Linked DNA regions of Macaca fascicularis. The protein of the gene in region 1 purifies or fractionates together with the protein of each later gene. This does not show direct contact. Links are inferred from orthologs where the notes say so. Each region holds a gene or a part of one and is shown in the gene's direction. Other genes may lie near its edges. The genes, in order: PRKAR2A, AKAP9, AKAP8 and PRKACB.

Region 1 (6,887 bases):
CTCACAGAAGGTCCTCTCCAGCCTGACTTCTTTGAACCTCACAAGGCCTTGGAAATGCCTTCTGAGGTGGAAGTAGGGAGGATCTGGTGTCGTCACTGAGTTTTCCAAGTTGGATCCTACATTCCTGCTTTTATAGTGGGCAGCTGCCATCATGGCCCCTGTACTTAGTCTCTTCTGCTTTCTCTTGCTTTATTGAAAGTCAGTAGAAGGTTTCCTGGGAAATTCCTGCAGTCACTGGAGAGAGTAGCACTCCTTTTCTCTTTTGAACTTCAGGGCTGTTTGCTTGCCTCTGAGCACTTGCTGCCTGTGGGAATTTCCTCTTCAGTGCTCGATTGGATGCTTCTCAAAGGCTATGTTGATGTCTGGTGCTTTTTTATATTCTCCACAGCCATAGGAACTGAATTTGCACCACATGAAAAGAGAGTTTTGGGAAGTGTTAAAGCATGCATAAAAAGAGTTAGAACCAGCTGAGTGTGGTGACTCATGCCTGTAATCTCAGTAATTTGGGAGGCCACGGTGGGCAAATCACATGAGCCTAGGAATTCAAGACCAGCGTGGGCAACATGGTGAAACCCTGTCTCTACGAAAAACAGGAAATTAGCTGATGTGGCGGCACATGCCTGTAGTCCCAGCTATTTGGGACGTTGAGGTGGGAGGATCACCTGAGCCCAAGAGGTCAAGGCTACAGTGAGCTGTGATCATGCCACTGCACTCCAGCCTGCGGAGTGACAGTGTGAGACTCTCTCTCAAAAAAAAAAGTCACTTGCCGGGTGTAGTGGCTCATGCCTGTAATCCCAGCACTTTGAAGGCCAAGGCGGGTGGATCACCTGAGGTCGGGAGTTCGAGACCAGCCTGACAAACATGGAGAAACCCTGTCTCTATTAAAAAATACAAAAGTAGCTGGGCATGGTGGCGATGCCTGTAATCCCAGCTACTCCAGAGGCCGAGGCAGGAGAATCTTTTGAACCTGGGAGGCGGAGGTTGCCGTGAGCCAAGATTGCACCATTGCACTCCAACCTGGGCAACAAGAACGAAACTCCATCTCAAAAAAAAAAAAAAAAAGTCGCTTTAAGAGATATTTGTTGTTTTCTCTTTAGTTAGAACTTTGTTGTTGTTGTTGTTGTTGTTTTTGAGATGGACTCTTGCTCTGTCGCCCAGGCTGGAGTCTACAGTGGCATGATCTCGGCTCACTGCAACCTCCGCCTCCCGGGTTCAAGCGATTCTCCTGCCTCAGCCTCCCGCATAGCTGGGATTATAGGCATGTGCCAACAATACTGGCTAATTTTTTTTTTTTTTTTTTTTTTTTTTTTTTTGAGACGGAGTCTTTGCTCTGTCACCCAGGCTGGGGTGCAGTGGCGCGAACTCGGCTCACTACAAGCTCCGCCTCCTGGGTTTACGCCATTCTCCAACCTCAGCCTCCCGAGTAGCTGGGACTACAGGCGCCCGCCACCTCGCCTGGCTAGTTTTTTTTGTACTTTTAGTAGAGACGGGGTTTCACCGTGTTAGCCAGGATGGTCTCGATCTCCTGACCTTGTGATCCGCCCGTCTCGGCCTCCCAAAGTGTTGGGATTACAGGCGTGAGCCACCGCGCCCGGCCCAATACTGGCTAATTTTTTATATTTTTGGTAGAGATGGGAATTCACTGTGTTGGCCAGGGTGGTTTCGAACTCCTGACTTCAAGTGATCCACCCACCTCAGCCTCCCAAAGTGCTGGGATTACAGGCGTGAGCCACCGTGCCTGGCCGAAATATTGTTTGCTATTGCAGTTATACTAATCTTTGTAACACATATAAGTAGATTTATAAAATATTGGGAGTTAACTTTGCTGCCCTCTGTGTGTTTATTTTTTAATTTTTATTTATTTATTTATTTTGAGACAGAGTCTCTGTCACCCAGGCTGGAATACAGTGGTGTGATCTCAGCTCACTGTATCCTCTGCCTCCAGGGTTCAAGTAATTCTCGTGCCTCAGCCTCCCGAGTAGCTGGGACTATAGGTGTGCACCACCATGCCCGGCTAATATTTGTATTTTTAATAGACACAAGGTTTCACCATGTTGGCCAGGCTGGTCTCGAACTCCTGACCTCAAGTGATCCACCCACTTTGGCCTCCCAAAATGCTGGGATTATAGGTGTGAGCCACTGCGCCAGGCCTTTTGTTTTATCTGTGTGTGTGTGTGTGGGTGTGTGTGTGTGTCTATCTATCTATCTGTCTATCTTTTGTCTATCTTTTGAGACAGTCTCACTCTGTTGGTCAGGCTGGAGTGCAGTGGTGCCCTCACACCTCACTACAACTTCGCCTCCCAGGGCTCAAGTGATCCTCCCACCTCTGCCTCCCAGTAACTGGGACCACAAGTGCACGCCACCATGCCTGCCTAATTTTTGTATTTTTTGTGCAGACAGGTTTCGCCATGTTGCCCAGGCTGTTCTCAAACTTCTGGGCTCAAACAATCCAGCCACCTCGGCCTCCCAAAGTGCTGGGAATACAGTCGTGAGCCACTGTTCCCAGCCTGTATGTTTTTGTTTGTTTGTTTGTTTGTTTTAATAAATAAATAAAATATTGGGGTTTTCTGTTTTTGTGGGGTTTTGTTTGTTTGTTTGTTTTTTTAGTCCGAGTCTCGCTCTGTCTCCCAGACTAGAGTGCAGTGCTGTGATCTTGGCTCACTACAAGCTCCGCCTCGCAGGTTCAAGCGATTCTCCTGCCTCAGCCTCCCTAGTAGCTGGGACTACAGGTGCCTGCCGCCATGCCCAGCTAATTTTTCGTATTTTAAGCAGAAGCAGGGTTTCATCATGTTAGCCAGGATGGTCTCAATCTCCTGACCTCGTGATCCACCCGCCTCAGCCTCCCAAAGAGCTGGAATTACAGGTATGAGCCACCGTGCCCGGCCTGTTTTTGTGTTTTAACTAGGTCTCCCTGTGTTGCCCAGGCTGGTCTTGAATTCCTAGCCTCAAGCGATCCTCCTGCCTTGGCCTCCCAAAGTGCAGAAATTACAGGCATGAGCCACCACACACAGCCTAAAATATTGTTTTGTTTTTATTTTTTTTTCGAGACAGAGTCTCGCCCTGTTACCCAGGCTGGAGTGCAGTGGCATGATCTTGGCTCACTGCAGCCTCTGCCTCCCGGGTTCAAATGATTCTCCTGTCTCAGTGTCCCGAGTAGCTGAGATTACAGGCGCCCATCACCACGCCTGGCTAATTTTTGTATTTTTAGTAGACATGGGGTTTCACCATATTGGCCAGGCTGGTCTTGAACTCCTGACCTCAAGTGATCCATCCGCTTTGGCCTCCCAAAGTTCTGAGATTACAGGCATGAGCCGCTGTGCCCAGCCCATTGTTATACTTTCTAGCAAAAAAAAAAAAAATATATATATATATATATATGTGTGTGTGTGTGTGTGTGTGTGTATATATATTTATTCCTGACAGCCTGAGGTAGAAGAAAGGTAGTTAACTTAGATACAAATAACTGCTTGCCCATTTAGGAATCTAAGACTAAGCAATTAACATTCTCATGGGTATCTCCCTGCACATGTGTACAAATATCTGAGAAGTGCCTGGCTTTGGTTAATTGTCTCCTGATCAGAATCCATTACTTACTAAGCCAGGCACAGTGTTGTGCACCTGTAGTCCCAGCTACTTGGGAGGCTGAGGTAGGGAGATCACTTGAGCCCAGGAGTTCAAAGCCAGCCTGGACAACAATGGGGGACCCCATCTGAAAAATAAAACAAAAGGAATCCATGACTTGTTAAGAGTCAAGGTATCTTTCATATGCCTGCCTTCCATCTTGCATATTCCTCCCATGTCTCTTCATTAACTTTAATCCTACCTCTCTTTCAGGTCCCAGACATTTTTGCGGCGAAATAATCTTTGTTCACTCCTGCCTACCGTGATCTCCCCTTCTTACCTTGAAATTTATGTAGCACTTGTCTTCTGTAGTTTCACCAAGCACATTTCATGTGCTCATATGCCTGTCTTGAACTATAGACTTTTTTTTTTTTTTTTTTTTTGAGACAGGGTTTCAACTTGTGTCACCCAGGCTGGAGTGCAGTGGTGCAATCTCGGCTCACCGCAACCTTAGCCCCCTGGGCTCAAGTGATTCTCCAAGCCTCAGCCTCCCAACTAGCTGGGACTATAGGCACACACCACCGTGCCCAGCTGATTTTTGTATTTTTTGTAGAAATGGGGTTTCACCATGTTGCCCAGCCTGGTCTTGAACTCCTGAGCTCAAGTGATCCATTTATGGCCTCCCAGAATGCTGGGATTACAGGTGTGAGCCACTGCACCCATTCTTGAAATGTAGACTTTTTATTCCTATGTATTTTGTTGTTGTTGTTGTTAATATTGTTGTTTTTGGGACATAGTCTTGCTCTGCTGCCCAGGCTGGAGTGCAGTGGTACAATAATAACTCACTGTAGCTTTGACCTCTCAGGCTCTGGTGAGCCTTTCACCTCAACCACCCAAGCACAGACATGTGCCACCATGCCCAGCTAACTTTTTTCGTGTATTTTTTCGAAGAGCGGGTGTTTCACCATGTTGCCTAGGCTTGTCTCGAACTCCTAGGCTCAAGCCATTTGCCCACCTTAGCCTCCCAAAATGCTAGGAGTACAGGCAGTGAGCTACTGCATTCAGCCAAGCTTCATATTTTGATATTTTGTGTTATCTTCCCATTAAGATTATAAACTTTTTTAGGGCAAGAACAATCTAATTGTTTTGGATTTAAAAAATTTTTTTAAATTCTGGATTCTAAGGATTAAATGATTGTTTTATTCTCTCTTTTGGTGAGATGTCTTTTTTTTTTTTTTTTTGAAATGAGGGTCTCACTCTGTGACCCAGACTGGAATGCAGTGACATAATCTCAGCTCACTAGAGGTATCTTTTATGACATTGAACAGTGACAGTGAGCTCACAAATGTTTAGGCGTTTTCTGTTTTGTGTTCTATTTATGACCCATAGGTGGCACCTATTGAGTGTTAGATAGCAAACAACAGCATGTGGGCAACTGGCTGGCTCAGGCTACAGGTTCTTTTCTTCCATTGATGACTCAAGATTAAAGTATCAATTAACACTTAATTAACACAGTAACTTACATATTCCTCTAATATTTGCTTTGGCCAGTTTATTAAACCATAGATGTTCCTGTATATAGGCATTTATTAGAATTTTCATATTCTTTCTTGTAGGACCGGGTGACTTTTAGAAGAATCATAGTGAAAAATAATGCAAAAAAGAGGAAGATGTTTGAATCATTTATTGAGTCTGTGCCCCTCCTTAAATCGCTAGAGGTAAAGTGGCTTGAATGAGAATCTGTTCATGGGGATCAGGAAAAGCTTTTAAAACTATTCTGTTGTTAGGTGTTCAAATCATACTATTCTAATCCCATTTCTGTGTTGTATAGCTATTGTGACTTTCAGTTAAGATCTTTTCCTTTTATTTCTGAATTTGTCTGTTGTTTCAGGTGTCAGAACGAATGAAGATAGTGGATGTAATAGGAGAGAAGATCTATAAGGATGGAGAACGCATAATCACTCAGGTGAGTGAGGGCTTTACACAGCTCCTTTCCTGGAAGTCACCCCTGAATAACTAGTACATCATTTATCTCAAAAATCTTGCCAGACATAGTGGCTGACGCCTGTAATCCCAACACTTCGGGAGGCTGAGGGAGGTGGATCGCTTGAGACCAGGAGTTCGAGACCAGCCTGGCCAACATGGTGAAACTCCGTCTCTACTAAAAATACTAAAATTAGCTGGGTGTGGTGGCCCACGCCTGTAATCCCAGCCACTCGGGAGGCTGAGGCAGGAGAATTGCTTGAACCCAGGAGGCGGAGGTTGCAGTGAGTCGAGATTGCACCACTGCCTCCAGCCTGGGCAACAGAGTGAGACTCCATTTCAAATTAAAAAAAAAAAAAAAAACTTCTATGTTCTCCCACTGTTGGGAGCTCTTATTACCAGGTAATAGATCACACTTCAGAGGACAATTATATAGTCCCCTGAAGCTTATTGATGTCCGTCTTACTGACACATGCAGATCACTTGCTTCCGCTCACCTTTCCTTGGCTTCTAGTGTTTGTTCTTTGGATGTCATTTTCTTTTGACCTTGAGTAAGTTTCATCCATTGCTATTAGAACCTGGGGAAGGTTAAAGAGTTCTGCCCTCTAACTTTCTATATTTGACACAAAGGCATCCTTTTGGCTAATCTAACACAAATCAGAGTCCACAGTCTTCAGTGATTAACCAAATTTGTAAGATGTCTGGTATTTCCTTTGTGCATTTTTCTCATGTTATTTTGGGATACAGTAAGGATTACTAAACAGTGGGCTAGATCATTGTAATGAGTACTGTCTAATAATTTTCTTTATCCACTGTGTTTGTATTTTTAATAAAACATAAATAGTATTGGACTTTTCCAGGTATCAGCTTCTCTGCCTATGGTTCTGGCTCAAGAGCACTGAGAAGATACATGGTTGGCCTAGGTTGGGTGATATGCTTATCCTTGAACCCAGTACTGAGACCACGAGGAGGAAAGGCTCAGATTGGTCAGGCGTGGGTCCTGTGGGTGGAGTTGGCCCCACTAGAACCACAAGGACTAATCAGACTTACCATAAAAGGGGAAAAGAAAGCTCCCCTGGAAGAGATAAAGGACTAACAAAAATATGATGTCTACTCTGAGTCACATCTCTGAATGTATTTGTTTTCTAGGAGCCCTTACTATTAATAATTCTTTTAATTAGAAATTGATATATTCTATAAACATTTATTAAGATAGGTAGGACCAGATATGATAAGCACTATAATGAAGGAGTGTATGAATGACAGTGAGAACATAGAAATGGAAGTAATACATACGGTTTCATCAAGGAATTGCCATTTGAGATGGGCTTAAAAAACAAGTG
Region 2 (6,887 bases), on another chromosome or scaffold:
GATAACACATTTATGTGCCTTTTATAGAAATCCACTTATTATGTACATACTGGCTTGTTTTTTTCCCACTTCTCCAATACACTATTTCAGGCACAGGCTCAAAATTTGGACCCAAATGGTCTGTTAGGTCTCTTGATGTTTTTAGTTCAAAGCTCTGCTAATCTGCTAAACCTTCCCTGTGGCCAGGCTTTCTCAAGGACTTTTAGTTGTAAAACTAATGTATTTAGCAAAGGACCATGTACTTAGAGTTAGTGTATATGCATAATGTCAATTAAGATTGGCTTTGAACTTTGTCTAGGTGGGGTCAGAAAGTTGAGACTGCACCATCATTGAGCTATCTTTAATATGTTTAGCTCAGACTTTTCTTCAGAGACTTGTTCTTAAAAATCATGTAAGTAGTCTGTGGTCTTTGCAGTCTTCCAGGTTTTCATTGAATGGTGGTGCCAACATTGAAGCCATCATTGCCTCTGAAAAAGAGGTATGGAACAGAGAAAAATTGACTCTCCAGAAATCTTTGAAAAGGGCAGAGGCTGAAGTATACAAACTGAAAGCTGAACTAAGAAATGACTCTTTACTTCAAACTCTAAGCCCTGATTCTGAACATGTCACTTTAAAGGTAGGAGACATCTCCCATCTAAACATCACAGTTTGTTCTATGTTTTTGCCTTCTTTCATCTCTCACTGACCTTAAATAAATAGACTAAAGAAATTTAGGCCCAGGCACGGTGGCTCACGCCTGTAATCCCAGCACTTTGGGAGGCCAAGATGCGCGGATCACGAGGTCAGGAGATTAAAACTATCCTGGCTAACATGGTGAAACCCGTCTCTACCAAAAATACAAAAACAAAAAAAATTAGCCGGGTGTGGTGGTGGGCGCCTGTAGTCCCAGCTACTCAGGAGGCTGAGGCAGGAGAATGACATGAACCTGGGAGGCAGAGCTTGCAGTGAGCCGAGATTGCGCCACTGCACTCCAGCCTGGGTGACAGAGTGAGACTCCATCTCAAAAAAAAAAAAAAAATAGATGGTATTCAGGTTTTGTCTCTAGGTCTCTTTATTCAGTCTTTGTCATGAATGCAGGTCACAGAGGTTTGTGGAAAGGCATGCCCAGGACTGGGACCAGATTAACCTCTATTAATGGTCACAGTGACAGCATCCTGGGCTCGTGGTTCCACTTTCCCTGGTTTCGTCCCTAATAGACCAAAAGAATGTTATATGTAAGAGCATCATACTCTGTAAAATGGTAAGCCCTCTGAAAGCCTCCCTAGTGACTAATAATGAATGTTGTTAAAACTACCTTAATCAGTCAACATAAAATTCAAAACATAAAGAAAAACTTTTGGAACATTTATTCCAGTTTATGACTCTGAAGGGATAGAAAACATTAACATTTAAAAAGTTAGATTAGGCCAGGCACGGTGGCTCACACCTGTAATCCCAGCACTTTGGGAGGCCGAGGTGGGTGGATTACTGAGGTCAGGAGTTTGAGATCAGCCTGGCCAACATGGTGAAATCCCATCTGTACTAGAAATACAAAAACTAGCCAGGCATGGTGGTGGGTGCCTGTAATCCCACCTACTTAGGAGGCTGAGGTAGGAGAATTGCTTGAACCCGGGAGACAGAGGTTGCAGTGAGCCGAGATCACGCCACTGCACTCTAGCCTGGGTGAGAGAGTGAGACTCCATCTCATAAATAAATACATTAGTGACCCTAATGAAAATAGCTCTGTACAATTAAAAAAAGAAAAAAAAAAAAGATGAAATTGGGATGACAAAAATATTTGCAATTAATATTATTAATGAGGGCTAAATCCTAAAAGAAGAAGTCTAACTATTACTATTCAGACTCCATTGACTAAAAGAGGCAAAAGTGTAAAGCTTAGTTAATTTATCTTAAATTTCACCTTTGCTGATAAAGTAGAAAACAGTGATAGGATACCTGCCATTTTATTACTACTACTGTTACTACAATACTACTACTACTGCTACTTGTTAAAATCTAGGTTATTTTCCCCTGGAGAGCAGGTTGAATGTTTTCTTAATGTCTTTATGTTCTTCTCTTCCTTAAATATAGAGAATTTATGGCAAATACTTGAGGGCAGAAAGTTTTCGAAAGGCTCTCATTTACCAGAAGAAATATCTGCTGCTGTTACTGGGTGGGTTCCAGGAATGTGAAGATGCCACTTTGGCCCTGCTTGCCCGGATGGGGGGGCAGCCAGCTTTCACGGATCTAGAGGTGATCACCAATCGCCCAAAGGGCTTCACCAGGTTTCGGTCGGCCGTCAGAGTATCCATTGCAATTTCCAGGTGAAGAACTTGAAGGAAAATGCATTTTACTAATAGACTCTCTAAAAGGATTAGTTCTTTTTAATTCTCCCTCTATTCTTTTCTGGTTATACTCTATATTTGTATAGTAGGCGGTATGTGCCATCACTGAAGCATGTCTGCTTTGTTTTTCTAGGTTTTCATTGAGCAGGAATAGTGGCAGGGTATGTGTAGACTATGAAAAGGGCCTTCCTAGGTCCAGGAAGCTGGTGACTCAGAGCTGGCCTATCCAGTCAGGGTTGCCTTTTAGAAAACAATCTGGACCAGGCACAGTGCCTCATGCCTGTAATCCCAGCACTTTGGGAAGCCAAGGCGGGCAAATCACAAGGTCAGAAGATCAAGACCAGCCTGGCCAACGTGGTAAAACCCTGTCTCTACTAAAAAAACAAAAAATTAGCTGGGCGTAGTGGCAGGTGCCTATAGACCCAGCTACTCAGAGTGAGACTCTGTCAAAAAAAAGAAAAAGAAAAAGGCCGGGTGTGGTGGCTCACATCTGTAATTCCAGCACTTTGGGAGGCCAAGGCAGGCGGATCACAAGGTCAGGAGATCGAGACCATTGTGGCTATGCTGAAACCTCATCTCTACTAAAAATACAAAAAAAATTAGCCAGGCATGGTGGCGGGCGCCTATAGTCCCAGCTACTTGGGAGGCTGAGGCAGGACAATGGCGTGAACCCAGGAGGCGGAGCTTGCAGTGAGCCAAGATCGTACCACTGTACTCCAACCTGGGCGACAGAAGGAGACTCCATCTCAAAAAAAAAAAAAAATCTGAATAAGCCCATGAACAAGCTCACACATGTAAAAAAAAGATTATAACATTTAAAAATGTGCTTGACAAATTACTTCTTAGGCTGGCATACATTCATTTTCTTCATTGCTAAGATAACCCAGTTTTGGTGCCCAGCTATGGAAGGTCCTTTCCTAACTGCATTCAAGTCAGAGGTTAGCCTTTAGGGCATTGGATTTTTGCTAGTGCTTTTGTTGTTCTTTCTCTAGTAATCCCAAGCAAAGAACTCTGGTATTCATTCTGTCTGTGATTGACATGCAGCCAAGACTCAAACTACTTTGAGGACCTGGCCCACTACATTCTTCTGACCTGGTTATATGCATACAAACACCAAGGCTTCTCCATGCATCCCCCTCCCTTTTAGGAGGCAGACAGATCTTAAAGGAATTTTGCTTTTTAAAGTTCTTTCTGTCAGGTCACATCTGATGCTTCTTTAAGGAGTTTTACCCTTTTTTTCTTATTTATTTTTCTCTAAAAATATGGCACAATTTTTTAATTGGAAGCTGTCTGAGATCACCTGGTCTAGAATCTCATTCCACACTTGAAGAAACTGAGGCAGGGAGAGGTTACAAAGCCAGTAGTGATAGAGCTGGGACAACCAGCTCAGTCTCCCCAGTCTCATTCATGCTGGCTCTGGAAACAGGAACACAGGTTTTATCTTAGTGTGGGCCTCAGACCCTCCTTGCTTCTGATATTCCATATTGTAGTCTCCTGGTTTCATTTACTCTTTCTCACCTTTCATTTCCTTCATCCCCTTGTATAGAGTTAAACCAGGGTAAGTGCTGGTAGATGCATTGATGAAAAAATAATAATTCCTGCCTAAATACCTAAAGGCAGCTCACTTTCTAGTGGGGAAGACTAATATGCACAGAACTTAGAATATAATAAATAAATGGGAGGTCACAGGAGTTAGCTAGTAATTTTGATTAGAGGGATCTAGAGAGGCTTCATGAAAGCAATGTAGAAGTTGTTATTGACAAACTTCACTCTGCCCTGCTTTTTCTTATCCAAGATTATGTTTATCATATTTTGACCCTCCTAAGACGGAGCCTTGGAACTGATTCAAAATAAATCAAAACTGGTGCTCCAAAAGCTCCTTGGGCCATAATGGGGCAGGTGGTAACTTGCTGCACCTGGTTCATGAAGCTAACACTCCCATTCCTTTTGAAACCAACATTTTTTGTCCCTAATCAAAGGGACAAGAGCCTCACCCACCTTGCAGCATTCCCAGCACATTCTTATTGCCAATTTAAGGGTCTTTTTGTTCACTTCTTATTTCATCTGCCCTTTATTCTCTATTCTCTTTTCATTACTTCTCACCCTTTCTTTGCCTACTTTTCCCATCTACTTTTGCCTTCCATCTCCTTGTACCCCATTTATCCCTCAAGCCAGAACCTGATGCTGACAGTATAAGAGACCTGTAATGCCTCTTGGGAAGGGGATAAGGGGATCTTGAATCCCTATTCCTCTGTTCCAGTTGATTTTGTCACAATGGGCATTGACATAGTTTAATTGGGCAATCGTGAAATTTGACATATGTTCTATGTTCATATTTAAATGTATGATGTGATTTTTGTAGGAAGTATACATACTGTTTACATTATAGATGTGCTGTGAAATTTTATCTTGGAATCTTTTTTAGAATGAAATTTTTGGTTCGACGGTGGCATCGAGTCACAGGTTCTGGTTCCATCAATATTAACAGAGATGGCTTTGGACTGAATCAAGGTGAAGTCAAAATAGCATATTTTCTTATGTTTATGACTCTCTAAATCAGAGGTCCCCCACCCCCAGGCTATGGACCCATACTTGTCTGTGGCCTGTTAGGAACCAGGCCGCACAGCAGCAGGTGAGTGGCGGGGACTACTGCCCGAGCTCCACCTCCTGGCAGATCAGCCGTGGCATTAGATTCTCACAGGAGCACAGACCTTATTGTGAACTGCACATGTGAGGAATCTAGGTTGTGTGTTCCTTATGAGAATCTAACTAATGCCTGATGATCTGGGGTGGAACAGTTTCATCCAGAAACCATTCCGGCCCCTCTGGGTCCATGGAAAAATTGTCTTCCATGAAATGCGTCCCTGGTGCCAAAAAGGTTAGGGACTGCTGCTCTGAATTACTGCATGTGTAATACTTACCAAATAATGAATTCTGGAAACAATGTTTTCCAAAGACAAAGCCCTTATAACTGCCAAAACTAGGTAACTTCACTGTTTTTTAAAGAGGATAATAATAGCTGATTTTCATGGAGAACTTAGTCTGCACCGGGCTGTGCTCTTTTCATGTATTCTCCCAATCCTGTGATAGAAATACAGTTGTTACTATTCTCACTTTTAGATGAAAAACCGAGGCATGGAAAACACATGTCATTTGCCCCAGAATGGCCAGTAGGGAAGTGATGGAATCAGGACCAAACACTGGCAGTCTGGCTCCAGAGCCCATACTCTTCATAACTGCATTTAAGGCACTGGTTCAAGACAGGATTGCTGTTAGTCATATGGAATAATTATGAAGTTTTCATAATTTAACAATATTCAAACAGGTTTCTGAGTTTACCAAGAGGTTGTATAATAATGGTAACAGCTAAAATTCCTTCTCTCTACACCTAGAAGTGGAAACAAACTAGGGCTTGAACATTTCTGGCAATAAAGATGAGGTCCAAATCTGGGGAGCACACAGAGGTACAGAGGACACAGCATCCCTGTGCTGTGTATTCACAGTAAACCACCTTCACATCCTCTACCAGGAGCTGAGCATCCGAGAGAGGGGAAATAGCTTTGGTACCCTACACAAAGTATTTTGAAATATCATTACACTGAAACAGCTGAAATTTGTACCATAATAAGTTGTGTTTTATTAAAAGTTAGCAAATCTTGATTTTAAGTCAATAGAATGGAATGTTTACATAGTCTAATATTTTTTATCCACATCATTTCCCACAAACCACACATACTCAGACACCCCTCACCTCTCATCTACTTAGAGCTAAGGTCTTTAAAAAAGAAAGTATGCCAATTAAATAATTTTCTTTGAGACATAATTCCAGGTATCAGAAATACTCATATTCAAAAGTAAACAAAATAACATTTGAAAGCCAAATTTTTGTTTGCACTGTTTCTCCTTTAGCAAGAATAGTAAGAAATGACTATAAATAGGAGATGGTATAATATAGTATAATAGTCTTTTGAGCAGTTATCTATTTTGTAGAAATTTTTTAAGGGCTTGGGTTTTATTTTTCTTTACAAGGAATATTTTGGGTTACTTTAGGTGCAGAAAAGACTGACTCATTTTTTCATTCTTCTGGTGGGCTGGAGCTATATGGAGAACCAAGACACACAACGTATCGCTCAAGATCAGATCTGGACTATATTAGGTCCCCTTTACCATTTCAGAATAGGTAAGAATTTGAGAAAACCTGCCTGGAATTGTTAAATGTATTCATATTTAACAGAGAAAAATGGACATTTTTAGGGCTTTGACTTCTTTGCATTGAGACAGACATCTTTGTTATATGTAATTTACATAATCTGACCAGGCATGGTGGCTCACATCTATAATCCCAGCACTTTGGGAGGCTGAGGTGGGCAGATCATGAGGTCAGGAGTTCAAGACCAGCTGGTTTGAGACCAGCCTGGCCAACATGGTGAAACCCTGTCTCTACTTAAAATACAAAAAAATTAGCCGGGCATGGTGGTGGGTGCTTGTTATCCCAGCTACTGGGGAGGCTGAGGCAGGAGAATCGCTTGAACTCAAGAGGCAAAGGTTGCAGTGAGCTGAGAT
Region 3 (7,360 bases), on another chromosome or scaffold:
AGCACAGACATGACAAAGTAAATGCTCATTGAAGCATTTCAGATTTTGGGTTTTTTGGAGTAGGGATGCTCACCTGGTAAGTATAATGCAAATATTCCAAAATCTGAAAGACTTCTGGTCATAAGCACTTTGGATAAGGGATACTCAATCTGTATCAAATTCTAGAAAATTTGGCTAGGCGTGGTGGCTCATGCCTGTAATCCTAACACTTTGGGAAGCTGAGATGGGTGGAGGTCCTGAGCTCAGGAGCTCAAGACCAGCCTGGGCAACATAGGAAAACACTGTATCTACTAAAAAAACAAAAAATCAGCTGGTGGTGCGTGAGTGCCTACTCAGGAGGCTGAGGCATGTGAATTGCCTAAACCCAGGAGGCGGAGGTTGCAGTGAGCTGAGAGCCCCTGCACTCCAGCTTGGGTGACAGAGCGAGACTGTCTAAAAAAAAAAAAAAAAGAAAATTTAAATGTGAAAAATAAAACCAAGATGAGAAAATAGTTAGAAAACTACAGACTCTGGGCGGGTGGTCCAGTGTGCTTACCAGAGCACTCAGTTGCCGGTGGACAGGGAAATGCCGTGGGAAGCAGCAGCACAGATTCTTCTGTCTTTCATCCACAGCAAAAATACCCCACAGTGACAACATCCAGTGCTGATGGGCAGGCAGGAGGACCAGGTCACTGTTTTTAACACAGGTGGAAGCAGCATGACTTGGAAATGTTTTGCAGTTAATTGGGCACTATCACTTTGAAACCAAACCTGGTTAGAATTAAAAGCACCAGCATGGAAGTGTACAGGTTTATTCTGGTGTTGCTGGGTTATTGTGGAGAAAATGTGGAAGCAATATAAATGTGCCTCAGTTGGGAGAATTTATGGTGTGGTCATCTGGGCATCCAGAGCTAGGAGGATAAAGTGTTGGCAAGTGAGAAAGAGTCACTGAGGAACGGTCTATAGTAGCATCCTAATTGTGTATCTTTAGTTTGTTATGAGCATGTATGATGTCTGTTAATATTTTCCTCCAGTAGTAGAGAAAACGTGCTAAGGAAAAAAAAAATGAAGATGGAGAGAGTAGAAGCAGCAAGTGAGAAGGCTTTCTGAAACATGTAAATGGAGTGGGCGGGACTCAGTGGGCTCTCCCACCCCGCCAAAAATATCCTCCTTTTAGCTTACGGTTTTTATAATGATCAAAGTGAGATTTGCCTGTACTCCCACCATGAGGAAATGGCCCCGCATACTGACGGAAATCCTTCCAGACAAAATGGCTCTGGCATGCTTTGCAGACAGTACTATATTATACACCTTTCTTTTGCCATTGGAGAGATGAGCCCGATTTGAAGGGCTGCATGACGTTCTTTTGAATGTACAATTTATTTAACCTTTTCTGCACTGAGGAACGTTTAGGTGTTTTCCCATTTTTCACCACTACAATCAGTGTGCACGTATGTTTCCAATTCTTAAATTTAGGATAGGTTCTGGGAAGGGATTAATGAAACAGATTTTTACTTTTCATACATTCTGTCAAACTGCTTTCCAAAAAATATGGAAACAGTTGATCCTCCCAGCAGCATAGAAGTGTCTCTTCAACCTTGCATGACTGGGAATAATTCTTCATTCTTGGAATTCTGTGGGTTAAAAAGACATGTTTGATTAAATATCTGTTCCTGCTTTTATACCCTCCCCGTTGGTCCCAAAGTGCTCCTTGCCTATTAGCCTAGTTGGCACCTTGTTATGGGTTGCACCTTTGGCTCTTAGTTTCTTAATTTGTTCACTGCTTATAGCTTTTTTGTAAGCAAATCAGATTTCTGTAATACAGCCGTAAAGATATATAGAGATCTATAGATCTGTATTTTTAATTACCTACAGTAAGTGTGGTGTGGAAGGAGAAGGAATTTGAACAAAGATCAGATAGGTTGTGGTTCCATGCTTGTAGAGTGGCCCTCCGTTGGTGGGGCTGCGCTCCGGGTGGAAGCGGGTGGAAGCGTGGGTGGAGGGGCAGGGGGGCGTCCCTCTAAACTGGCAGGGTCGGGGCGGGAACTTGTAGGGCACTCAGAGCAGCCTCTCCAGCCCCTTCTGCCCTGCCCGCAGCTCATGATGGAGCAGTCCAAGAAGTCCTCGCTCATGGTGGCCCGCAGTATTCTCAACAACAAGCTCATCAGCAAGAAGCTGGAGCGCTACCTGAAGGTGAGGCGCTGGTCCTGGCCTGGGCTTGTCCCCACCTCAGTCCCTGCCTGTGCTCCCTCACTTCAGTGTCCGCGCCCCTCCCCACAGGGCGAGAACCCTTTCACCGACAGCCCCGAGGAGGAGGCTGAGGGCGGTGCCCTGGACGAGGGGGCACAGGGCGAAGCGGCAGGGGTCTCGGAGGGTGCAGAGGGCGCGCCGGCGCAGCCTCCCGTGCCCCCAGAGCCAGCCCCCGGCGCCGTGTCGCCGCCACCGCCGCCGCCCCCAGAGGAGGAGGAGGAGGGCGCCGTGCCCTTGCTGGGAGGGGCGCTGCAACGCCAGATCCGCGGCATCCCGGGCCTCGACGTTGAGGACGACGAGGAGGGCGGCGGGGGCGTCCCGTGACCCGAGCTCGGGGCGGGCGGGGCCCGCGTGGCCGAAGCTGGAAGCCAAACCTAATAAAGTTTTCCCATCCCACCTCCCGGTTTCTCTGTTATGGTGCCGCGCGGGCCGGGCGGGGCGCGGGCCGAGAGGCGGGGCGCGCATTCGCGCGGGCCGGGCCCTCGGGCACCGCTGCGGGACCACAACTCCCGACAGGCTGCGGAGGTGGAGCTTCGCAGCCCGAAAGGCTAGCTGGGACGGTGAGGGCGGACCCTCGTGAATGCCAGCCAATGGGAGCGCGCGGAAGTAGTGACGTGTGCGCCTAGTCTTCCAGTAGTCGACGGCGGAGGTGCGTTGAACGCATGCGTGCTGTGGTCTCCTAGTAAAAGGGGCTGCTGGTGGGCCGCGTTGAAGACATGGACCAGGGCTACGGAGGTTTGTGTAGGCTGCTGGGTGCAGAGTAGGGAGCGAAGGCTGAGTGCGAGCCACGCAGCCGCTGCGCAGACGGCCGCGGGCCGGGCCTTCGTCCGGAGTGTGGTTGCCGCAGCCGGGCCCTGCAGAGAGGCGGCCAGAGCGCGCGCGCGCGCCGCTCATTGGGCTTTGGCGCCGTCGCTCCCGGGGCGCTGCGTGCGGATTGGCCGCCAGGGCCCGAAGAGGCGGGCGGGACTCGGGGTTGGGGCAGACGCCGCGGTGGGCTTCATGGGGGGCGCCTTGGGCTGTGCGGGCCGTTTCTGTCCCTCACCTTCGGCGGGGCCCTTCCGGCCCCCGGCGACCCCGGGGTTTGCACTCCCGGCTTCCTCTTCCGAAGACGCCACAAAATGGCGGCGCTAGGGGGCGGAGCTACAGCGTGGGGTCCTGAGGTCGGGCTCCGGGCGCTGGGTCTGGGGCCACGGGTGGACCGCTGGGGCCGCCTCTCCTGACCTGCCCTAGGCCTTCGGGGCCGGTTGGGGCCTCTGCTGGGCTCCCAAGGCCCAGGGCGCCTGTCCCGGAAGCCGTCGGGCTGCGCGGGGTCGGGCCTTTAATCCCCGGTGCTGCGTATTGAGGCCGAGTGCGGCCGGCGCGGGAGTCAGCCTCGCTGGGCTCCAGCTCTGTAGCCGGCGCGTGCTGGCGTGGGACAGGATGGTGAGGGGCAGATGCTGAGTGTTTGTATAAAGCTGGAAACCTGATTGTGCCCTGGGGCTGGTGACAGATTGGCCATTCTCATGTAGGCAGTGCGTTGCGGTGGCTTGGAGGGGCCAAGGGGTTGTGCAAGAGGGAACGTGTCCTTTCCCCGCTTGGCTTTAGCGCTTGGCCTGCAGTAGGGCCGATTTTCTCGAGCTTCCTGCTCCCCGGCTCTGGAATCAGAGCCTTCTGGGAGCCAAGTTTGCCCACAGGGGATAGTTGGGACACGCTGGGTGGAGCTCGACTGGGTGTAGAGAAGCTAGTGGTCTGATCCTGGCTGCAGGAGCTCAAGAAGTTGTCGATCTTGAGAAGTGGCAGGGCAAAATTATCCTATCACCAGAAATTGCAGAGACAGGAGAGCGGTCGGTCCTGAGGCGGCAGCGTGCGCGGTGTGCTTTGGTGTCTTCCGGGTCCTAGCGAAGGCTCTCCTGGTCTGCCACAGCCTGGGTAGATTTCACCATTCTGTCCTTTCCTTCCCATCAGATCTTTTCTGCCGGTATTGTCTTTTTCAGTCTTAGTTTGGAGAGGTTTTTTAAATCCCCTTTTCCTACCTCCCGAAAACCTTTCAGACACAGTGGAGATAGTTCAGCTTCCCCGATTTCTTGTGTTTCGGGGAGCGTTTTAAGGTTAATAATGCGTGCTGCTTACACTAGAGCTTCACAGGGAAGCGGCCTCTCGAGGTTGGTTACTTGCTGTTAGAATCTGCAGTCTGCCTTTCTGTTGCACGGATGCAAATTTAGAAGGCTTTGCGGTATGACGGAGGGGAAGGCATAGCATAGCAGAGGGCAAAACTCAGCGGTTATGACTGGGTCAAGTCTCGTAACCCATGAGCCTAGCTCCCTTGTCTCTGAATGGCCTTCGGGACAACAGGGTTTGCTGGGTGCTTGCAGTGTATCGGCACACACTAGGCACTTAGCGGCGGGGCTTGTTCTGGTGAGGGAGACATGGGTATGTTCCTGCCTCATCAAAGTGAAGTCATTTAACAGGCATGGTGGCCACCCGCGCGCAGCTGAGTGCTGGGCCCCAGGGACACAGAAATGAAGAGAACACAGTTCCCATCCTCCTTCCTGGAGGGACCAGACAGATCCCATAGTGGGTGGGGGGTGTTGGGAGGGTCGAAGAGTGCAGTCTGATGCCTTAGGGCCAGGCCAAGGCCCTGGGACTTAAAGGTCCAGGGGATCCGTGGAGGGCTTAAAAGTGATAGGAAGTGCGGCTTAGAGAGATGCAGTTTATGTCACCAAATTCCCATGCTTGTTCTCAGTTACAGGGTACTTGTGATAGTAGTCGGAACTGGTTTCCTGGCTGTGTGGTGGGTGGGGGAATGTGTCCTCATGCTGAATGGATTGTCTTGTGTTAGCCTCAGTTGTGGATGGACTCTTGGAGGGGTGAGGTACTTGGCCAAGGTCCCTCTGCAGGCGGAGCTGACCTCCAAGCCCACTTCCCACCCTTCTTTTTCTGCTTTGATCTCAGCCAAGTGGAATGCGATGATGCCGTTAGCCAGCTGTGGGGTGGCTTTTTTGTGTGTTGGGGGGGGTATTCCTTCTTGTAAGGCTGACACTGAACTGTAAGGAGATCCATTTAGGAGTACCCCTAAAAGGACCCGTTCTCTGGTGTGACAAATAGAATCTTAACTCACGGGGGTCTTCTTGCAGGCTATGGGGCATGGAGTGCTGGACCTGCCAACACCCAGGGTAAGTGGGCTCTGCTTTGCGGGTGAGGCGTGGGCTTCCCCTACATTCAAGGCCCTAACATGGCAGAGCTGAACCTGATGGTCACCAGGGTCAAGGGAGGTGGTAGCGGGGGTCAACAAACTTTGTGTAAAGGATCAGATGGTGAATATCTTTGTGGCTTTATGAGCTCCACAGTCTCTGTAGCAGGAAAGCAGTCATAAATGTGTGAAAGAGTGGATGGGACAATGCCAATAGTTACTTATAGACAATATAATTCGAAGATCATAATTTTTGTGTGTTATTAAATCCTCTATTTTGGCAAAATATTTTTATTCTGAGTAAATAGCTGAGGGTATATCCAAGGTGTTTTTTCTCTATAATTAACAGATTTTTAGCACAGCTTTAGATTTAGTAGTAGAGTTTCATAGGCCCACATATCTCTACTCAGGTGTAGTGTCTCTCATTAGTACGATTTTTTTTTTCTTTTGAGACGGAGTCTTGCTCTGTTGCCCAGGCTAGAGTGCAGGAGTGTGATCTCGGCTCACTGCAGCCTCAGTCTCCTGAGTAGCTGGTATTACAGGCACCCACCACCGCGCCCAGCTAATTTTTGTATTTTTAGTAGAGATAGGGTTTCACGATGTTGACCAAGCTGGTCTCGAACTCCTGACCTCGTGATCAGCCCTCCTTGGCCTCCCAAAGTGCTGGGATTACAGGTGTGAGCCACCACACCCAGCCTCATTAGTAAGATCTTTCATTAGCTGGGTGAGGCAGCTCATGTCTGTAATCCCAGCAGTTTGGGAGGCTGAGGCAAGAGGCTCACTTGAGCCTGGGAGTTCGAGACCCAAGCTCAAGTGATCCTTTTATCCTAGTAATAAAAAATTAGTAGGGCGTGGCAGTGCGTGCCTGTAATCCCAGCCACTCAGAAGGCTGAGGTAGAAAGATTGCTTGAGCCCAGGAGGTCAAGGCTGCAGTGAGCTGTGAGCCACTGCACTCCAGCCTGGGTGACAGAGCAAGACCCTGTCTCCAAAAAAAAAAAAAAAAATCTTGCATTAGTGTGATGCATTTGTTACAATTAATTAGCCAGTGTTTCAGTGTTTATGTGATATTATTCACTATAGCTCATAGTTTTTCTTAATTTGCATAGTCTCTGAGTTTTGACCCAATGTGTCAGTGATATATTTCATGTCAAAATTTGTCATTGAATATACCTTAGAAGCTTTACCCCAACCATTTAAAAACGTAAAATTCACCCTTCGCTGAGGGCAGAGCCTGAGAACACAGGGCTACAGGCAGTGTGCTGGTACTTACTTATGAGCACTGAAATTCGAAAATCACAAGGGCTGTGCCAAGGTGGGCAGTGGGCTCCGTGTGGCCTGACTTTTTGCAGATCCCCACTCTAGAGTCAGGGTCACGATGCTAGGCTTGTTTGGGGGGCCGTTGTGTGCTCTCTGCTGGCAAGGTTTTCTGCTTTCTGCCAGCCCGTGTTCCAGGGCACGAGGGCTTCCTTTGTGTTCTGAGTCTGAGATCTGTCTCTAGCAATATGGGGAGTGGGGCTGCTTTTCGAGCCACCACCCCCCGGTGTTTCAGGGGGAGGCCTTCGAAGTCGCTCGAGGCACATAACGTCCTCTTGCTCGCTTGAGTTGAGGACGTGACTTTGCACCAATGCCTAGCTGTGCAGTTGGCAGCGCCTGCACTCTGGCTTCTGGTGGGAACTGGCCCTTTACGAGGACTCTGCCTGGGGCCTGACCCGGCCAACCTCTTGGCCAGCAGCCCACAGTAGACGAGCTTCCTGGGGAGCGTGCAGCATCCCTTCCCTTGCCCTGACGGGAAGTTGGCCTTGCACGGGAGAAGGCTGGCTTGTGCTCAGCCTAGTGCTCTGTAGGAGTTGAGTGAGCTAAGAACACCCAAGGGTGCCTCCCTGAGCGCTGCAGAGGGAAGCCCTGGCCCTGGGACTGTGGAGGGTGGAGCGGGGTGACAGCTGGGGTGTCAGTGCCTTCGTT
Region 4 (7,642 bases), on another chromosome or scaffold:
AAAGCTTTCAGTTTGTATCCCAGTTCCTCTGTGAAAGACAGAAGCTATAATTCCACTTTGGCACTAGGACATATTTTGTTAATATTCTGGTTACTCAACAAGAGTCAATTGTTTTAGTTTTCCTATCTGTAAAGGAATATCCAAAAAGATGAATACTGAAACTCAGATAAAAAAAATTCATCATTGAACAAAAGGATTAGAATTATGCCCAACAAGAAAACTTTGTACTGTATTAGAATGATTTAAAACACTTATCGTACTTGTAATTTATTGGCCATAAAATTACTTCCTCATTTTGGAAATATTACTTTGCCCTTTGCCTGGTATTTCATGTGGTATCTTTTGATTTGGTATATACTATACAATAATAAAATATTAGACAACGTGGATGATTATCATTCAAAAAATTGTAATTCTATAGTGGTTAAATTCTCACTTGCATTTATTTCATGTAAAATATTATATGAAAACAAAATTAGCTTACCCCTGCTCTGGTTTAAGGAAGATTATACTTTAAAAGTATGTTTGCTAAATAGTTTTTAATTAGTTAACATCCACAATCATTTATTTGTAATTACAAACAAGTTGTTTTTCATTATTGGTCACTCTTAAGAAAAACAAGTACTTCCGACATACATTGTGTTTGAGGGTGCTTTACTTTAAAAGAACTTGGAAATCAAGTTGGCAATATAAGTAGAAACTACAAAATAAATTTGAAAAAATATTTACTAATTTTCTCCCCTTTTCTCACTCATGAGTTAAGAGGTGGTCTAGAAAGAAGAGTGCCAAGATTCTTTGTTCATAAACCTTAGTTTTCTCATCTGCAAAATACGGATTTAAAAACCTAATCTTAATGAGGATTAGATTATGTGTTTCAGAGTGACAGCATATAATCTAGAGCTCTGCCTCTTACCACTTGAGTGACCTTGGCCAACTTACTTCACTTCTTTGAGCTCTTGTTCCACTCATTTGTAAAATGGGGCTAAGATAGTTATCTGGCTTATGTAGGTTTGCAAATACCACTGGTATAATTTTCCCTTTTACACAATGCTGTATGTTCTCAGATTAGCAAAAATATTATATGGAAGGGAACTCAAAAGTATTTTCTCTGAATGAGTCCCTTCTTACTGCATCTGCTTTCCTAGGGAAACAAAATTACATAGTTCCATCTCTTTTTGTCTAGGGTACAGCAGTCATTGGTGGCAAAGGATAGAAATTGCCTCATGGAACCTCCAATTATTCACGAATAACTGGACAGTTGAAATTTCTGCCCCTTCCAGAATGTTAGAAAACCAGTTCATAAAACATACTCTTTTAGATGCTACATAAATTACAAATTTCTATAGAAAACTCTTCTAATAATGAAAAACAACTTGTTTGTAATTACAAATAAATGATTATGGATGTTAACTAATTAAAAACTATTTACCAAACTATACTTTTAAAATATAATCTTCCTTAAACCAGAGCAGCAGTAAGCTAATATAAGAAGCAGAAAAAAGTGGTATAAAGAAAAAAGAAAAATAGCAAGAAATTTTAAATTGCTGATCACTTTTTCTCTATCATTAAGAACTTATTTCCTTAACCAATAATAAAGTTAAATTGAGAAAGAAGGGGAGACAATTTGTAAAGCTGAATTTTTTGCTTTACTTATTAATTTTTCAGGTATAGTTATATTGTATCCATTTTTGTAATAGCTCTCAAATGTCTCCTTTGTAAATTAATGATTTACTATGTAAATGGTAGCCCTCTTATTAGAGACCTAGAATTCAAAATTATGTTAAAGTGCCAAATTATGCACACGACCACTCTTTTATCATTAAAGCGGATTTATTTAAAAAGGTTACATTTAAAACTCACCCCAATGACAGTAGTATGAATATTCTATGATACTAGAAAGATTCCCTCTAGAATACAGAATATCAAAAGTTGTCTTTAATTGGTATACATGTGGTTCAGTGCTATTTATTGAACTTTCTATGTATGTGGGGCAAAATAACAGCCACAACACAAAACTAAATGGGATTGGAGATGACATTGTTGTGACACTGTTGTATGCCGACACAAAACCTCACATCATCTAGTCCAAATCCTTGCTTCACTATTTTTATTTTATTTGAATTGAAACCCAGAAAACAATATAATACATTTCCTTGAGACGTATACTCACTATGCATCTATCACTTCAAGTCAATGGGATTTCAAATGGAGAGAAAGCAATTTACCACAACATCCACAAGTTTTTGGTCAACATTAAGAGACAAAGGATCAGATTTTTGGAGCCCAATTGCCTGGGTTCAAATCCTGCTTCCACCAGATAATAGCTGTGTAATCTCGGTAAGTCACTTCTTTGTGCCTTAATTTGCTCGTAACTAAAATGATGACAGTAAAACCACATCTCTCATAGGGTTCTTATGAGGAGCAAATGAGTTACTATTCGTATAGAAGTTGTAATGCAGTATACATTAACAGAATTGGTGATAATAGGAAGTTTACTAATAATCTTATCGCTCCATTTTTTGTCAGTAATGAAAATTTTTTTAAAAGCCTGAGAAATTTCAAGTCAACAGGTATTCGTAAAACACCTACTATGCCTGGTGCCTTGGGAACATAGAATAATTTGGGAAGTTACAGTCTATTTTGACTTTGTAATAAGTGGAAAACACAGAGCAAAGTTCAATGGAACCACAAAAATGCTAGAGTGCCATATAATTTACCTAAGTAAAGCTAACAGCAAAATCAAGTATTCTAAGATTTATATTAATAAAAACGCAACTAACAATTGGGAATGTATTTATTTTCAGATCTACACGGAAGTTGCTAAATACAATGCTGTACATCAACAGAAGTTGTGCAGAAATAGTAAAATTTTCCTTTATCTCCACCTGGGAAGTCTGAAAACATAGGGCTTGTGACTGGAGCCTACTATCCCCGAGGACAACGCGGTGGGCTCAGCGAATACCTCAATGTGCGAGGGAATGAAAGGCTCGAACTACGACCGTGACTAGGGACCAGGCTTTTCCTACTGCCGATGCCGGGCAGATGCAGACCCAGAGACCACCCTTGCGCGCGATCTCCAACCCGAAGGTGCGGCTCTTTTTCGGACCTGGCGCTGTGAGGAAAAGGCAGTCTTTGAGTGAGGAGCCGCCGCGTGGCGGGACACAAGGAAAACCACCCGAGCCGCTGAACGGTATCCCGCGACTCCACTCCAGGGCACTGGGAACGCCAGGCTGAGGAGGGACTCTGCCGTCCGCAAAGCTAGCGGTTCCCACTCCACCTCCCACTATCTCAGCGATGGGCATCCGAGCACTAGACCGGGATACCGCGGCGGAGGAGGCGGTCAGCGGAACCTCAGGCCCCAACCCTGGGCTCGGCCAGCTAAGGGTCCACCGCCCGCCCCCGGGGTCCCGGGCGACGTCACTTCCGGCGCGCGCACCCGCGCGCGAAGACACAGTCGGGCCAGGGCCTAGCCCGGGCGCGCGGCTGCCCGGGGGCGCGCGGGGAGGGCGGGCCGCGCGAAGGGGGAGTGTCTGCCCGCCGCCGCTACTGCTGCCGCCGCCGCCGCCGCCGCCGCAGCAGCCGCAGCTACCGGTGCTGAGGAGTTCGCTGGAACCCTTTCCTCAGACCCGGCCCGGTCTCCCTGCCCGGACTCCGGGCGCCAGCGCTAGGCGCACTCACCGCTTTGACGGGTGCAGAAGCGGGAGTTGCCCCAGACTGTGGAGTGGCGGGCACGGCCCCAGCCCCCCTTCCCCTCCCTGACCCCTTCTTGCCATCGCCCCAGACATGGGCAACGCGGCGACCGCCAAGAAAGGCAGCGAGGTGGAGAGCGGTGAGTTGAAGGCCGGGTCTGGGTATCCGCTGGGCGGGCCGGCGCGGGGCACCGAGGCCCCTCCGGGTCGCAGCTCCTGAGGCCGCGGGCACGGGCCAGGCCTAGTAGCGGCCGCCGGGAGTCGTTCTGGGGGGCCGGGGGACCAGCTGCCTTCCTCCTCCATTCCGACCCCCCAGCTCCGTGTTGAGGGCTGAGTGCGAAGGGCCGGATGTGGGGATCCTGGGAAGAGCGTTCCCTGGGATTCCCTTTTTCACTCTAGCGAGGAGGACTTGCACACATTCTGGAACACTTCCCCAAATATGGTCCGAGGAAAGAAGTCCCCAGTGCCATCCCACCCCTGCTTTCCCCTCTCGCCGACTCTTTGGGAGCTACAGGTAGTGGTGCTGTGGGTAAGGTTGGCTCTTCTCCCTCCATCACTTGGGTCCAACCCAACCTTATCACAAGGCGGGGGCTGCTAGTCTGGCTCTACGCAAGTGAGGCTAATCCTGAGTGAACAACTCTGCCTTAGAGATCCTTCATCTCTTCAGATTAGGAATGGAAAACATAATGAGACCAAACAGCAACTTTATCCATTAGAGAAAAAAGCCAGGCAGGTTTGCCTTTTCTCTAGACATTCTAGGATCTGCTGCAATGCCTGTAAAACTTAAAGGTCATTCGGAGTGGAAGTGCTTCCAGAACACGGTTAATTTCTTCTGAGAGCTGAAGGTGCGGGTACTCCACACTTTACATCAAAAAGTAAAATATCATGAAAATGGAATTTCTGTATGGCTGTGAGGTGTGTGTGTGTGTCTGTGTGTTTGTGTATGCATGTATACACATGCATATATATGTGTGTATATATGTGTCAGTCAGAATGGTCGTGAAATAAAACTTGGGTTTGCCTTTGTAAAGTTTATATATTTTTATAATTCAGAATGGCCGAATAACAGATGATATTTGTTACATCACCAGTAGTGAATGACATGTTAGCACTTAAAGTGGGCCTGATAATTTTAGTTTGTGTAAATATTACTTGTAATGTTTTCATGGTTGTAACATAAGAATTAGGCTAATTTTATAATTTAGCATGAAGGAAATAGCTTTTTTTTCTGTATTAGTAAAGTAGAATTCATTTAGAAGGATTTAGTCATTCATTTGGTTTAACATAAATAGATCAGATTATATGGTTTATGTTTCATCAGTAAGGTTTTGGTATCAATTTTTGGGAGCTCCAGAAAAGTTTGATGAGCTATTATATAAACTATTTAAGAACACACAGTATGTCATACAGAGATCTAAAGAAACCATTGTAGAGGTAGAATGTATGTTATTTTATTTATTTATTTTTGAGATGGAGTTTCGTTCTTGTTGCCCAGGCTGGAGTGCAATAGTGCAATCTTGGCTCACTGCAACCTCCGCTTCCTGGGTTCAAGCGATTCTCCTGCCTCAGCCTCCCGAGTAGCTGGGATTACAGGCGTCCACCACCACACCCGGCTAATTTTTGTATTTTTAGTAGAGACGGAGTTTCACCATGTTGGCCAGGCTGGTCTCGAACTCCTGACCTCAGGTAATCCACCCACCTCGGCCTCCCAAAGTGCTGGGATTACAGGCGTGAGCCAACGTGCCCGGCCTTTGTTATCTTTTTAAAATTGCGGAAATATAGTAACTAACTGTACAGGAAGTATAAAAAATGCAAAAAGCGTAAAGAATTATTTGTACCTTATATGTTGTCATTTTTCGTGTTAATTTAAAACTGTATAAACTTAAAACGTGCTAATTGTGTTACAAAAGAGTGTTTGGAGAATGATCCTATTAGTAGTTTTCATTAGCAAGTGCTGACCTGTATAATGTTTATATTTTGGATAATGATAGTAGACTCTCCTGTGACCTGTATATTTTTTATTAAGTTATCAAAACAATTCTCCCTTAGACAGTATTAATTTGCAACTCATAGCTGTGAAATAACCTCAGAATATTTACTGAAAACAGAATGGAAACTTCAAATGTTTATCTGAACATATTTAAATTATTTCCATGAATAAATTCTTTCCTATGTTTTAAGTGTTAATGACAGTCTAGTACTTATTAGTCAGCTTTTTGTGTAACTTTGTTTATGGAAACAAGGTCATTATAATAGTTTAAAAAGCTGTTGTGAAGTGACCAAAAAAAAAAAATAGCGTGTTATGTGTCATAGGGAAAATTATTTGAAATGTCATGTGTTGATTAATGTTTGTAATTTCATTTGGAGCAATGTTATCAGGTATATGTTGCTGTTCTGTAGTAAACAAAGAAATTGTATTTTAAACTTAATGAAAGAACTCTTATCATTACATACCTAACTGTTCTGTGTATTTTTTTAAAGAATTATTCTTGAAAATTTGTTTTTCAAAACTTTTAGAAATATATGATGTTACAGATCAGCCTGTACAATCATTCCTTTTCAAAGATCCTGATCTCTGAAGAAGCTGGAGTTGAGATCATACTGTTAGTAATAACCGAGTAAGGAATAGAGTCTGATGCCTGCACTCCATTCAGCATCACTGAATAATCAGTTAATACATTTATTTTCAAAATATTCACCAAATGTTTTAGTTTCAATTAGAGACTATAAGTAAAAGCTAAAACATGTTACTGTCTAATGGGTAACTCATATATATAAGAGTTACCTGAAAGGCAAAAATACAAGTGCTAACATTATGGAAAGTGGAATTAGAACTCTGAAAATTGCTGTATGAAAATGTTTGATTTGAAAAGTTGATTAAAAATATCAAGTCAGTTAAGATTTCAGGTTCAGTTAGCACCAAGCTTCAGAAAGGCAGGTGATTCCAGAGCTTAGTTCTAAAAATATTCCAGAAGAATGAAGTTGAAGTTAGGCATAAAGATAATTTAGAAGGGTCTTGGTTAACTTTGACTATCTGGTGCCTGTATTATACTCTACTGAAACTGGTCCCTCTATTAGAATTAACATTTTCTGGGGTAAGACCTAAAGGCTAAGTGAGATTCCATCTTCATCTCCACAGGTTTTGGAGATAACATTAACTTAGGTACCTGTTGTTCTGCTGTAGTGAATTAGGAAATTGTATTGATGTATCTCAAAACTTAATGAAAGAATAACTGGCGCTATTATATACATAATAGTATATGATAGTGTGTGTTTTTAAAATTACTCTTGAAGATATATCCCTTTTAAAATTTGGATGTAGTTATTTAAACATCAGCTAATACAGAGAAACATAAATTTTAGAAATATGATAAAATTCTCAGAGAAGGTTTAAACTCTTGTCAGTTAAGTTTGTTTTACTTATCCAGTCTTTTACCTTTTACACCAGCCCCAGTCACCAACACACCAAAAAAGCACACTACTTCTTTTAACCTGGGAGGGGTTTTTATTTATTTCATTTAAAAAAAATACTATACCTCCAGGTTGCCTATTGGGCTTTGTGTTATACATTCATTGCAAAAATGTTGAGGCCCATGAGTGAAAAGTGTTGGTAGAGATTTGAATGTAGATTCTTTCATGACTGCAAGTCATTAAGTTACCATATGACCTAGTGTTCACATATGATCTTTGAATGTTTTCCAGAGTATTTCTCTGTCCTATGGATTTGAAAGTCAATAGGAATTAATCATAGAAAGCCACCAGTAGACTAGGTTCAACAAAAATTTTTTGAGGACTAATATGTGCCGGGTTATCTAATGCTTTCCATGTATAAACTTTTACTTAATCTTTTTAACTATAAAGTACTTGAGTTATTCCTTCATTTATGGATGAAGAAACAAAGGCTCCGAGAGCCTAAGTGACTTGCTTAAGGTTGCATAGCTAGTAAGTCAAGA

The links.
Region 2: the proteins of PRKAR2A (region 1) and AKAP9 purify together in Homo sapiens (affinity purification with western blotting; 3 studies listed by BioGRID, with this or other methods). This does not show direct contact. The link is inferred for Macaca fascicularis from reciprocal best matches to the Homo sapiens genes PRKAR2A and AKAP9.
Region 3: the proteins of PRKAR2A (region 1) and AKAP8 purify together in Homo sapiens (affinity purification with western blotting; 3 studies listed by BioGRID and IntAct, with this or other methods). This does not show direct contact. The link is inferred for Macaca fascicularis from reciprocal best matches to the Homo sapiens genes PRKAR2A and AKAP8.
Region 4: the proteins of PRKAR2A (region 1) and PRKACB purify together in Homo sapiens (affinity purification with mass spectrometry; 6 studies listed by BioGRID and IntAct, counting the BioPlex papers as one, with this or other methods). This does not show direct contact. The link is inferred for Macaca fascicularis from reciprocal best matches to the Homo sapiens genes PRKAR2A and PRKACB.

The regions. Positions count from the first base shown.
Region 1 is NC_088376.1:111,736,591-111,743,477, reverse strand, and holds part of PRKAR2A (cAMP-dependent protein kinase type II-alpha regulatory subunit), read left to right. Parts: intron 1-5,177; coding exon 5,178-5,279; intron 5,280-5,452; coding exon 5,453-5,527; intron 5,528-6,887. UniProt on the Homo sapiens protein: Regulatory subunit of the cAMP-dependent protein kinases involved in cAMP signaling in cells. Type II regulatory chains mediate membrane association by binding to anchoring proteins, including the MAP2 kinase.
Region 2 is NC_088377.1:129,246,479-129,253,365, reverse strand, and holds part of AKAP9 (A-kinase anchor protein 9), read left to right. Parts: intron 1-415; coding exon 416-616; intron 617-2,070; coding exon 2,071-2,303; intron 2,304-4,749; coding exon 4,750-4,835; intron 4,836-6,374; coding exon 6,375-6,504; intron 6,505-6,887. UniProt on the Homo sapiens protein: Scaffolding protein that assembles several protein kinases and phosphatases on the centrosome and Golgi apparatus. Required to maintain the integrity of the Golgi apparatus. Required for microtubule nucleation at the cis-side of the Golgi apparatus.
Region 3 is NC_088393.1:15,792,781-15,800,140, reverse strand, and holds the start of AKAP8 (A-kinase anchor protein 8), read left to right. Parts: upstream 1-2,891; 5' UTR 2,892-2,945; coding exon 2,946-2,964; intron 2,965-3,206; exon of another isoform or gene 3,207-3,389; intron 3,390-3,399; exon of another isoform or gene 3,400-3,651; intron 3,652-5,342; coding exon 5,343-5,381; intron 5,382-7,360. Other genes in the region: AKAP8L (A-kinase anchor protein 8-like), read left to right, coding at 2,077-2,172, 2,260-2,553. UniProt on the Homo sapiens protein: Anchoring protein that mediates the subcellular compartmentation of cAMP-dependent protein kinase (PKA type II).
Region 4 is NC_088375.1:150,557,935-150,565,576, reverse strand, and holds the start of PRKACB (cAMP-dependent protein kinase catalytic subunit beta), read left to right. Parts: upstream 1-3,495; 5' UTR 3,496-3,783; coding exon of another isoform or gene 3,784-3,829; intron 3,830-7,642. UniProt on the Homo sapiens protein: Mediates cAMP-dependent signaling triggered by receptor binding to GPCRs.